Linked DNA regions of Danio rerio. The protein of the gene in region 1 purifies or fractionates together with the protein of each later gene. This does not show direct contact. Links are inferred from orthologs where the notes say so. Each region holds a gene or a part of one and is shown in the gene's direction. Other genes may lie near its edges. The genes, in order: anapc7, anapc4 and cdc27.

Region 1 (3,558 bases):
ACTTTCATAGTATTTGTTTTTCCTATGGAAGTAAATAGTTACCAGTTTTCATCTTCAAACTATCTTCTTTTATATTTAACAGAAAGTATAAAAGTCACAAAGGTTTGAAATCACACGTGTGAGTAAATTTCAGATTTCTTGGGGTAAACTATCCCTTTAACACACACACACACACACACACACACACACACACACACACACACACACACACACACACACACACACACACACACACACACACACACACAAACCCCCTTCATCAGAAAACTGGACAGAAGAGATGGATCTTTTTGTGATTTGATTGATCACAACACATTTGAATATCAGCTGTAAACTGAAGGCTAAGCTGCATGTTTGAAGCTATAAATCGATTCTATTGTGTACTTTTCTTTTGAATGTGTGAACAACATTATTAGATTTTTCTTTTATTCCTGTTTCTAGGTCTGATCGACTGCTATCTAGCGTCTAATGGCATCCGTGAGGCGATGGGGATGGCCAACAATATTTATAAGACTCTGGGAGCAAACGCTCAGACTTTGACTATTCTGGCTACTGTGTGTCTGGAAGACCCCATGACCCAGGAGAAAGCCAAGACTCTGCTGGACAAAGCCCTCGCACAGCGGCCCGACTACATCAAAGCTGTGGTCAAGAAAGCAGAGCTGCTCAGTGAGTCTCAGATCTGCTTCTCTGTAGAGTAAATCAGAAACCGTGCACATCACGGTTATTATGGTTTTTAAATTCATTCATATTTTTTAGTTTTTTTCAGTTTTGAAAAAACTTTAACGATTATAATAATAATATTTGATGTATAAAGTTATTATATAATAAATGGTAATAGTAATCATATTTAATTAATTTTTTATGTAATTTAAAATTTATTATTATTTTATTTCTAATTATTTTTGTTTAATTATTAACATTTTGCGCATAATATATTATTTAGTTTTTTATATAATTATTATTTTTTGTTTTTGTTTTCAGTTCAATTTTTGGGTACTTTTTTATTTTAATAATAGTAATAATATTTGATGGATCCACTTATCATATTTTTATCAAATTATATTCATAATCATGTATTTATTATTTACTTTTGGATTTATTTTTCAGTTGATTATTTTTCTATTTCTTATTCATAACTATAAATTGATTATGTTCTGTTTAATTATTAACATTTTGCACACAATATATTATTTAGTTCTTTTTTTTCATTTAACTGTTTTTTTAATTTAGTTTTTATCAGTTTTGTAGTTTTCAGTGTAATTTTCTGATTTTTTAAGTTTAACAATAGTAATAATGTTTGGCATATCAACTTATCATATCTTGAATAAATGCATGATTATGAATACAATTTATTAATTTACTTTTTGATGTATTTTACAGTTGATTATTTTTTTATTTCTTATAACTATTAATTGATTCTTTTTCTGTTTGATTAATATTTTTATTTTATTGTTGTTATTAATAGCAGCAGTAGTAATATATTTAATTATTTGTATTATAATTTATTTAATAATGCGTTTTTTATGTTATTATCGTGAATATTATTTTAAAATTTGAATTGACTTTTTTGTTATTGTATATATTTCTTCTATTTCTTTTACATCTAAATTTTTTCTCAATTAAAAATTTATGTATTTTAATTTTTTTATAATTTAATCAAAATATTTTTAATAATTAACTATTGGTATTATTTTTAATTTTTTTAATAATTTGTCAATTCCTCATAGTTGTGATAATTTTCTGCATTATTTAATTAGTATTTATTTTTAGTTTTGTTAGTTTTATATATATATATATATATATATGTATATTAAGGGTGGAGCCGAACCCGAATACGGTATTCGGAAAGGCACGAATAGCGTGTTTTTACGAATACTTGATTCGAACAAATACTTGAAAAATTATTTGTATTCGGGAGCAAGAAAAACACTGTATCAAAAAGCTGCGTTTCCTCATGAGACCACAGTGCATGCCTGAGTGAGAGAGAGAGAGAGAGAGAGAGAGAGAGAGAGAGAGAGAGAGAGAGAGAGAGAGAGAGAGAGAGAGAGAGAAAGACACACGCTCAGTGCAAAACGCGCCAAAGCCCGAAACTGAAAGCGAGACGTGACTTTTAAGGGGCTGTTTCATATGGATTTATTAATCATTCTTACTGTTCAGTGATCGCAAACTGCCGTAGTTTATTAAAGACGCAAACCCCTTACTGCACGTCAGCTGCGCGCCTTCAGCAGACCTCCTCATTCCTGCAGCACGAGAGCTTTATGATTGTTTATGCGCGCCAAAAGTGGCGGATCTGTCCGGTTAAATATCTGACTGCGTGTCCCCGCATCCCTAAGGACTGTTTGGCGAAATATTTGACTGCATGTCACTGCATAACAAACGACTGAAACGATATAACTAGAGAAATCTCCACTGTGCCACTGTGCGTATGGCAAGCCGTCTTAGCATTTAAACCTTGTTCAGACTATCCATAAATATATTTAGAGATATCTCTAATTATATTTTGACTTGTCATAATTATAATTCAGATTGGAAATATCTGCAAATATATTATGACTGACTAGTCATATTCCTCCATGGACATTCATTGAAAAATATTTGCAGATATCTCTAAATAAACAAACAAACAAACTTTGTGTCTTTTTTTGTGGCTGGCAGATGATAATAGCAGGGCTGTATCTTTTAGTATTATATAGAATACTTTTGTTCTGCCAGATCTCCCAGGCAGGGTTTATTTAGATTTATTTAGTTAATTTTAGTTTTAGGAATTCTGTCCATTGGAAAAAAGTTCTTTCAGAAGAGGAACAGTTTTTTGAAGTATTATTTGTTTTTATTCTGTCTATTCAGTGTCCTTCAACAAGAACAGTGGTGGTGGGGTTCATAATATTCACAATGGTATTTTATGAGTTGTTGGTTTAACCATGGATGAGATAATGGCTTCTATGTTATTTTCTTTTCAATGACATTTCTTATCACATGTTCAAAAACAACAGCCAATATTGCATATCTATAATTTATATAATGAGTATAATTAAACAATACTTTCAATATAACGTAAATTAGTAGTGTAATAGAAAAAATATATTTTTTGCGCCATTTTGAATTTTACTCGAATACAAATACAAATACTTTTCCCCTCTCAACAAATACAAATACCGGCTGCTCCGCACATCCCTAATGTATATATATATATATATATATATATATATATATATATATATATATATATATATATATATATATATATATATATATATATATATATATATATATAGCATTATACTATTATTGTCTCTTTATACTTTATTATCTTTTTATGTAATATTGAATCATAATAAAGTATTTTTTAACATCAAATCAATTTCTCTCACAGGTCGAGAACAGAAGTATGAGGAAGGAATTGCTCTTCTGCGAAACACGTTAGCCAATCAGAGCGACTGTGTGCTGCACAGAATGCTGGGAGATTTTCTGGTTGCTGTTAATGACTATCAGGAAGCGATGGACCAGTACAGTATAGCACTGAGGTAAATGGCAGACTCTATGTCCAATGCACTTTTTTGA
Region 2 (2,979 bases), on another chromosome or scaffold:
CTGTTGAAAAAAGTGAATTGTGTAAAAGTAAATATCTCCTTTCGCACTGAACTTTGAGCAGTGCAACTTTGAAGATGTGGTTTATATGCAAACAGAGACATCACACACTAGATAATGCTAAAATTTTAGATTATCATCAAGGACCCCTTAAAAGAAATGCAAGTACTATGATGCATATTAAGAAGCAGATCCAGCAAAATGCTGGATTGTAGTATGGTTATGTTTGGTTTGTCCTATTTATTGTCCTGAAATAGTACTTTTTTTGATGTCGTCTTTGTTGTGGTCTTTCAGGTTGGAGCAGCAAACTGAGGGAATTCCAGTGCAGGGTGTTGCCTGGGGAAACCAGAGCAGAGAGATGGACAACATCAGCGCTCAGTTTGTGGCTGTTAATGGGATCCGCAAAGTGGCCTGTGTGGTAAGATTATACAACTCCAGAATGTTTTTTAACTTTTTATAAGTAAAATCTGAGATATAAATAAACAACAGTTTTTTTAACAAGGAAAATTCTTACTTTTAATTTTTAAATAAAAAAAAAATCAGTCATTAATTTATTTCAATAATTTAAATATTTAGATAAAGAATATTTAAAGAATCAATGAAACACTAATGAATGATTTTCTAATGAATTGAAACATTTTCATATGAATGTTTTTTATAAATGTTATAATTTATTAATCAATTAAGAAATAATAATTTTTAATTATTAATATGATTATTACAGCTTTTTAACATGAAGAATGTATATTTCAATGTAATATACATCTGTTTTCAATAGACCTGTCACAATAATCAATATATCGACTTATCTTGCAATACTTGGAGATTACCTACATTTAGTGAAAAAAAACCCCCACATTTTGGGGCATTGCAATATATATTTACAAATTCACAAATAACATTAAAGCCATTTCACAATGATATTTCTATTTTAACAGTGACCATTTATAATTGAACATTTACCTAATAGAACATTTGATAGTTTACAGCAGGGGTTCTCAACTGGTTTAGCTATGGGACCCACATTTTTACATGGTCATCAAGCCGCGACCCAAATTTTTAGAAACTATAATACAATTTTAGGAATTATAATTAATTTGTATTTATTTGTTAACATAAACAAGTAGTGACTGATACATCATAAGAAATTCACCAAGACTTACAAATAAACAATATTTTATTGCTGTCTTTTAACAAAATGGATCAAATTATAGAAATATTACAAAGTAAACACGACAAATACAGTTAATAATAAACTGTTAACAAAACATGTTTTCTGGTTTCTAAATGTTGTTTTAATTTAGAAGGTTTCATGCTCTCTTATGAGAGCACCTCACTACATATCACACTAAGGCTTTAAGTCTTTTTTGTCGTCAATATATATATTCATACTTTACATATTCGGGGTCATACTTGCGATTCGGCAAATTTGTTGCAACAATAAATGAAATTTCATATGTCAAACGGTAGGGCTGTCGCACACACATTACAAAATAAAAGTCCGGTATAAGCAAAAAAAGTACAAATTTTTACTTTTGTTGTTTTTTTTGACCACACACTCCGTGACCCACTGAAAATCTTCCCGCGACCCACCAGCTGAGAAACACTGGTTTACAGTATATAAAAGGATATTTATCTTTTTAACTTCAAATTTATAGATATAAATAACCTTAAGAATAAATATTTAGTATTTATGGCTATTTGCATTATGCTTTTATATAATCATTGCATAATCAGTGTTATAAAATGATCTCAAAATGACAGTAATACTGCTTATCGCAACAATTTCTGTAACAATATATAGCACACAAAAATCTTTATCGTTTTCGTTTTTTGCATATACTAATTGTTATATAAAGAAATAATTAATTATTATATTACTGTTTAATAATTGCCATTATTTCAAAAATAATTAGCAACCAAATAAAGATAAAACCATAAAGATTTTGGCTTGCTTCCATATTCTGTAAATGGTAAAAAAATCTATTGTCTGATCTCTTCCATCAGCTCAGTGCCAATCTAAGGCATGTACGTGTGTTTGAAATGGACGCAGAGGAGGAAGAGGATGAGGAAGAGCGAGCTGATGAGTCACAGGAAATGAGCTCAGACCAGGACAGAATTGAGGACACAAAGACTAATGAGAGTGATGCTGTTGAAGGTGGACGGGTGGAGGATGCCCAGGTGTCGGGTCAGGGGCCAAGAGACAGTTTGGATGACACTGCAGGATCAGATACACTTTGAAGATCAAACAAGTTCTACACGATGGAACTATAGACTCCTCTGTTATAACAGGTCATGTTTTTTACATAGCTAAGAAAAATTGCGATAAACATGAATATTTCACATCTTCATTTGTAAATAAATGAATTTATTGGTAATACCCTGAACTCATATCTGGCAAAAATGTTTCTGTGTTTTCTCTGGTTGGATGAACATTCAGCGTGCATGAAGGAAAGGCATTGTAGAAATGCACTATGCACAGTCATCCATTATTTATTTATTCCACAACTAACAGTTTTCAATACCATGTTTACAGAGATAAAGTGAATAGCCTTGAGTTAGTCATGTGACCTCAATGTAAATGCAAAATCAAACTGCTTTTTTGAGTGAAACATGCACTATCCAGTGGTAAATTTTCCATTCATTTCCATTCAGGGAAACTGATTTTAAATTAACTTCTCAATCACTTTGCTATGAGCTATACAAGATTGTTAATCAATGATATGTGCATTTGTTGAATCCATCAACATGCATTATTTGAGTATTTTAAAACAATTATGAAAATACATTCATACATCATATAAAAATGTCCTGATGTTCGAATAGGATCCAAATCCCTCCCATTTTGAGGCCCACCACAACTTGACATAGGAGTTCGGTTTCCCTGCCATTGAATTGATTGACATCCGTGTATTAACATGTCTCCGTAGTAACGCGTATAATCATATCAACAAGGCAGTTCAGCAAGATCTGTTCAGCGCT
Region 3 (3,666 bases), on another chromosome or scaffold:
GATATTGGGAGGGGATATCTTGCTCTCTGCTCTTATAACTGCCGAGAGGCCATTAACATCTTGAGTCAGCTACCTTCACACCATTACAACACGGGCTGGGTGCTGGGTCAGATCGGGCGAGCACACTTTGAACTGGCTGAATACATGCAGGTGAGTCTGCGTTGCAGAAATGAGGTGAAATCAATTACCAAAGGCATTCAAATTATAATGGCAAGTAGTGGAAAATGTTTTTGTTTGTTCTCACAGAAGATATTTTTGTCTGTTTAATTAGGCGGAGAGGATTTTTTCAGAAGTCCGACGTATAGAGAGCTATCGAGTAGAGGGTATGGACATCTACTCAACAACACTTTGGCATTTACAAAAGGATGTGGCACTTTCTGCCCTATCTAAAGACCTCACTGACATGGACAAAAACTCACCTGAGGTAAGTTTATCAAGGCAGTAATGCAATTATTAGTTGGAATATTATTCAGTTCAGTAAATCAGCTGCTTATCTTTTTGTTTTTCCACCTCTTTACAGCCCTGGTGTGTAGTTGGTAACTGTTTCAGCTTACAGCGGGAGCATGACATCGCCATTAAGTTCTTCACACGGGCCATCCAGGTGGACCCCAGCTTTGCTTACGCTTATACACTATTAGGGCATGAACTGGTTCTCACAGAGGAGCTGGAGAAAGCCCTGGGTTGCTTCCGCAATGCTATACGCCTCAATAAACGTCACTACAATGCCTGGTATGTTTGTTACTTTACATGACACCAAAAAAAAACCATTAAATAAGTCGTTCACTCACAATCATTTTACTTATCCAGTTGTCTGACAGATAAGTACCATCTGCTATTTCAGAAGCAAAAAGACTTCATCTTTCTGTCTCTTACCACAGGTATGGCTTGGGAATGATTTATTATAAGCAGGAGAAGTTTAATCTAGCCGAGATTCATTTCAAGAAAGCTTTTAGCATCAATCCTCAGAGCTCTGTGCTACTCTGTCATATCGGAGTGGTGAGTAAATCAGCCTTTATGTACTTTTTGGTTATGCATAAAACATAACATGATAATCACTGTTTAAAATTTCTGATAGGATTTTTGCTGTGCTGCATCTTCATATTGTTTCTCATGTACTCTGTCAGGTTCAACATGCTTTGAAGAAATCAGACCATGCACTGGAGACCCTTAACAGAGCCATTAGCATCGACCCTAAGAATCCGCTATGCAAATTCCATAGGGCCTCAATTCTGTTTGCCAATGAAAAGTACAAGGTACTGCTCTACTTGTACTATAATGTTAGGTGCAGTGAGTGATTTCTGAGAAACTCTGTTATATTTGAAATCTGACATCAAAGCAAAAATACACCGCCCCTTAATACTTAAACATGCAAAACAACAGGCAACCGCTACTGCAGAGTGAACCATATGCAGTTTAATAGTTCTTTACGATTGTTGCTCGTCAATCTATTCACCTTATTCTACGTGTATGAGCGAGCACAGCCGTTTGAATCTTTTTGGCTGGAGACTGCTGGTCTCATTCACTTCCATTCATTTTTGTGACATTAAAAACCGTTCTTTCTTCTGCTTGATGTTGCAAACTGATCTTTTTTTGTTTTACTATTCTGCTTCGTCCGTGTTGTCATGAACATACTTGCTTATAGAGGACCGTTTATTTGCCGTTTATTATTCCTAGTCATTTCTCCGATAGACGACTGAATCAGAAGTTCTTAAACAATCGCAAAAACGAGTGCACTATCACATTTAAGAATAGGGTCAATATCAGGGGTGCTCAAACGTTTCCTATGCATGGCCAAAACCAAACATAATTGACCCTTCGCTAAGCCCTGCCCAATAACTGCCACCCACCAATCGTGGCTTAGCAACTGTAGCTACGCGCAGGGGCTCTGTCAAGTTTTCGAGCGAGTGCATATGGATTGTGCAAATCTGATACCCGGTATCCTTAGAGTTTGGACTGGGCGGTGGAATTTTTCCCCTTTTCAAAACCTAAAATCCAAAAGGAGAAATACTAGCGTGGATCAAGCAGTGTGAGGGGCACTAAAAGAGCAGAGCTAAGTTGATTTTGTTTTGATATTCCTGACACATTCAGTGACAGACAGACGGCAATAACTCACAAACCTCTTACCCTAAACAGAACTAAACTGTGTTTCCTACAAAAACACAAAGCTGGTTATGTTTCACAGCTTTCTTATTCCTTTTTTTTTTTTGCTCTATTGTGAGTAATGCTCCGTTTAAGCCTTCGCCATAACGTTAGTAACTTAGTCATAATAGCGAATAAGTCATAATGACAAGAGTTATTGATTCGGAAAATACAAATCTGCGAATCTGTTGCTAACTTTACTGAACGTCATATTTCCATCTGTTTCAAGCTATGAATATTAGAAATGACAAATTAGCAGAACAAAACCGAGATATGATCACAAACTGAGCAGCAGATCAATATACTTTACCCGCAGCTGCTGTTTTTCAGTCATTTATAAAGAGCACACAAACATACTGACAGTAATAGGTAACTTATTGTTATGAGTCAATGATGCTAATATTCGACACAAATCCATCAGTTTCCCTTTCTGGCTGTTCTTTCTATGAATGAACTATGTAAAAGCACTGTCATGCATGTTTCTTCATCGGTTAGTAACTCCATTTCATTGCACAACAATTAATCCATCAGGCTTTTTGGCTAAAAATAGAGAAATCACGGTTTAATTTGTTATTATTAGATTATTTTTAGATTTCCCCTCTCCTGCTGAGCATGAGCTAAGCTGTTAAATGGTCAGCGTATGAGGTGGCTAGGCTAAGCTAGCTTCAATTTTAATTGATTTATTCTCTAATCGGTTGCCTATTATGTGGTGAATATACCCCTGTAATGCATACTGCAGTCCTTTATTGTCTGGCTTTCTCGGATATCTCACCTGTTCGCCAAAAATAACATTATACCCCTGGCAATGATTGACACCGGCGCACACATTGAAAAAGCTGTGCCAGGCACGAAAGCTTGACAGGCGTAGCAACAGTAACTAAGGAGGGGGGGCTTAGCGAAGGGTCCATTGAGAGCTGTGGGCGGAAGGTCAATCTAGCAAACTCTATTACAAAGTTGCCATAGGTAATTTTCTTTTTTTTTTATGTATATTTATAATACTTATAGATGGAAATTACTTAATCATGTATAATCATATGAGGTTAACTATTGCATTATAATTTTGTATATTTTATAATTAACGTATCCCTATGAAAAGAAACTATTCCATTTACAACACCATGGCTTTCAGTGCACATTTAAATACTCTGACCCATTCACAACATTCAATTGAAACATTTAATTCAAGCTTGTTTTTTTGTAGCATCACAATAAAACAAACAAAAGCTTATATTAAATTACAAAAGACAATCTCTATTAAAGGCAATTCCTCCTCCAACCCTTAATTTGGGATGGCGGGCCAAATCAAAGGTTATCATGGGCCAACTTTTGCAGATCCTAGTTTGGGCATCACTGGTCTATATGAATAGTTAACCAGCTTTAAGTCATGATACACTGTGGGATCTCAGTTGCTAAACAGTTGCCACAAACTCCAATACTTTCAAGACCCCCTTGTCTTCAAAAGAAAATTGAGAAAAAAAACAAATGTTTTGGAAAAAAAAATTTCACTTTGATTGGTTATTGATTTTA

Evidence for each region.
Region 2: the proteins of anapc7 (region 1) and anapc4 purify together in Homo sapiens (affinity purification with western blotting; 14 studies listed by BioGRID and IntAct, with this or other methods). This does not show direct contact. The link is inferred for Danio rerio from reciprocal best matches to the Homo sapiens genes ANAPC7 and ANAPC4.
Region 3: the proteins of anapc7 (region 1) and cdc27 purify together in Homo sapiens (affinity purification with western blotting; 23 studies listed by BioGRID and IntAct, with this or other methods). This does not show direct contact. The link is inferred for Danio rerio from reciprocal best matches to the Homo sapiens genes ANAPC7 and CDC27.

Annotation. Positions count from the first base shown.
Region 1 is NC_133183.1:13,326,457-13,330,014, reverse strand, and holds part of anapc7 (anaphase-promoting complex subunit 7), read left to right. Parts: intron 1-441; coding exon 442-666; intron 667-3,370; coding exon 3,371-3,521; intron 3,522-3,558. UniProt on the Homo sapiens protein: Component of the anaphase promoting complex/cyclosome (APC/C), a cell cycle-regulated E3 ubiquitin ligase that controls progression through mitosis and the G1 phase of the cell cycle.
Region 2 is NC_133195.1:26,077,042-26,080,020, reverse strand, and holds the end of anapc4 (anaphase-promoting complex subunit 4), read left to right. Parts: intron 1-291; coding exon 292-415; intron 416-2,004; coding exon 2,005-2,238; 3' UTR 2,239-2,384; downstream 2,385-2,979. UniProt on the Homo sapiens protein: Component of the anaphase promoting complex/cyclosome (APC/C), a cell cycle-regulated E3 ubiquitin ligase that controls progression through mitosis and the G1 phase of the cell cycle.
Region 3 is NC_133178.1:20,785,824-20,789,489, forward strand, and holds part of cdc27 (cell division cycle protein 27 homolog), read left to right. Parts: coding exon 1-150; intron 151-271; coding exon 272-424; intron 425-520; coding exon 521-729; intron 730-878; coding exon 879-996; intron 997-1,124; coding exon 1,125-1,253; intron 1,254-3,666. UniProt on the Homo sapiens protein: Component of the anaphase promoting complex/cyclosome (APC/C), a cell cycle-regulated E3 ubiquitin ligase that controls progression through mitosis and the G1 phase of the cell cycle.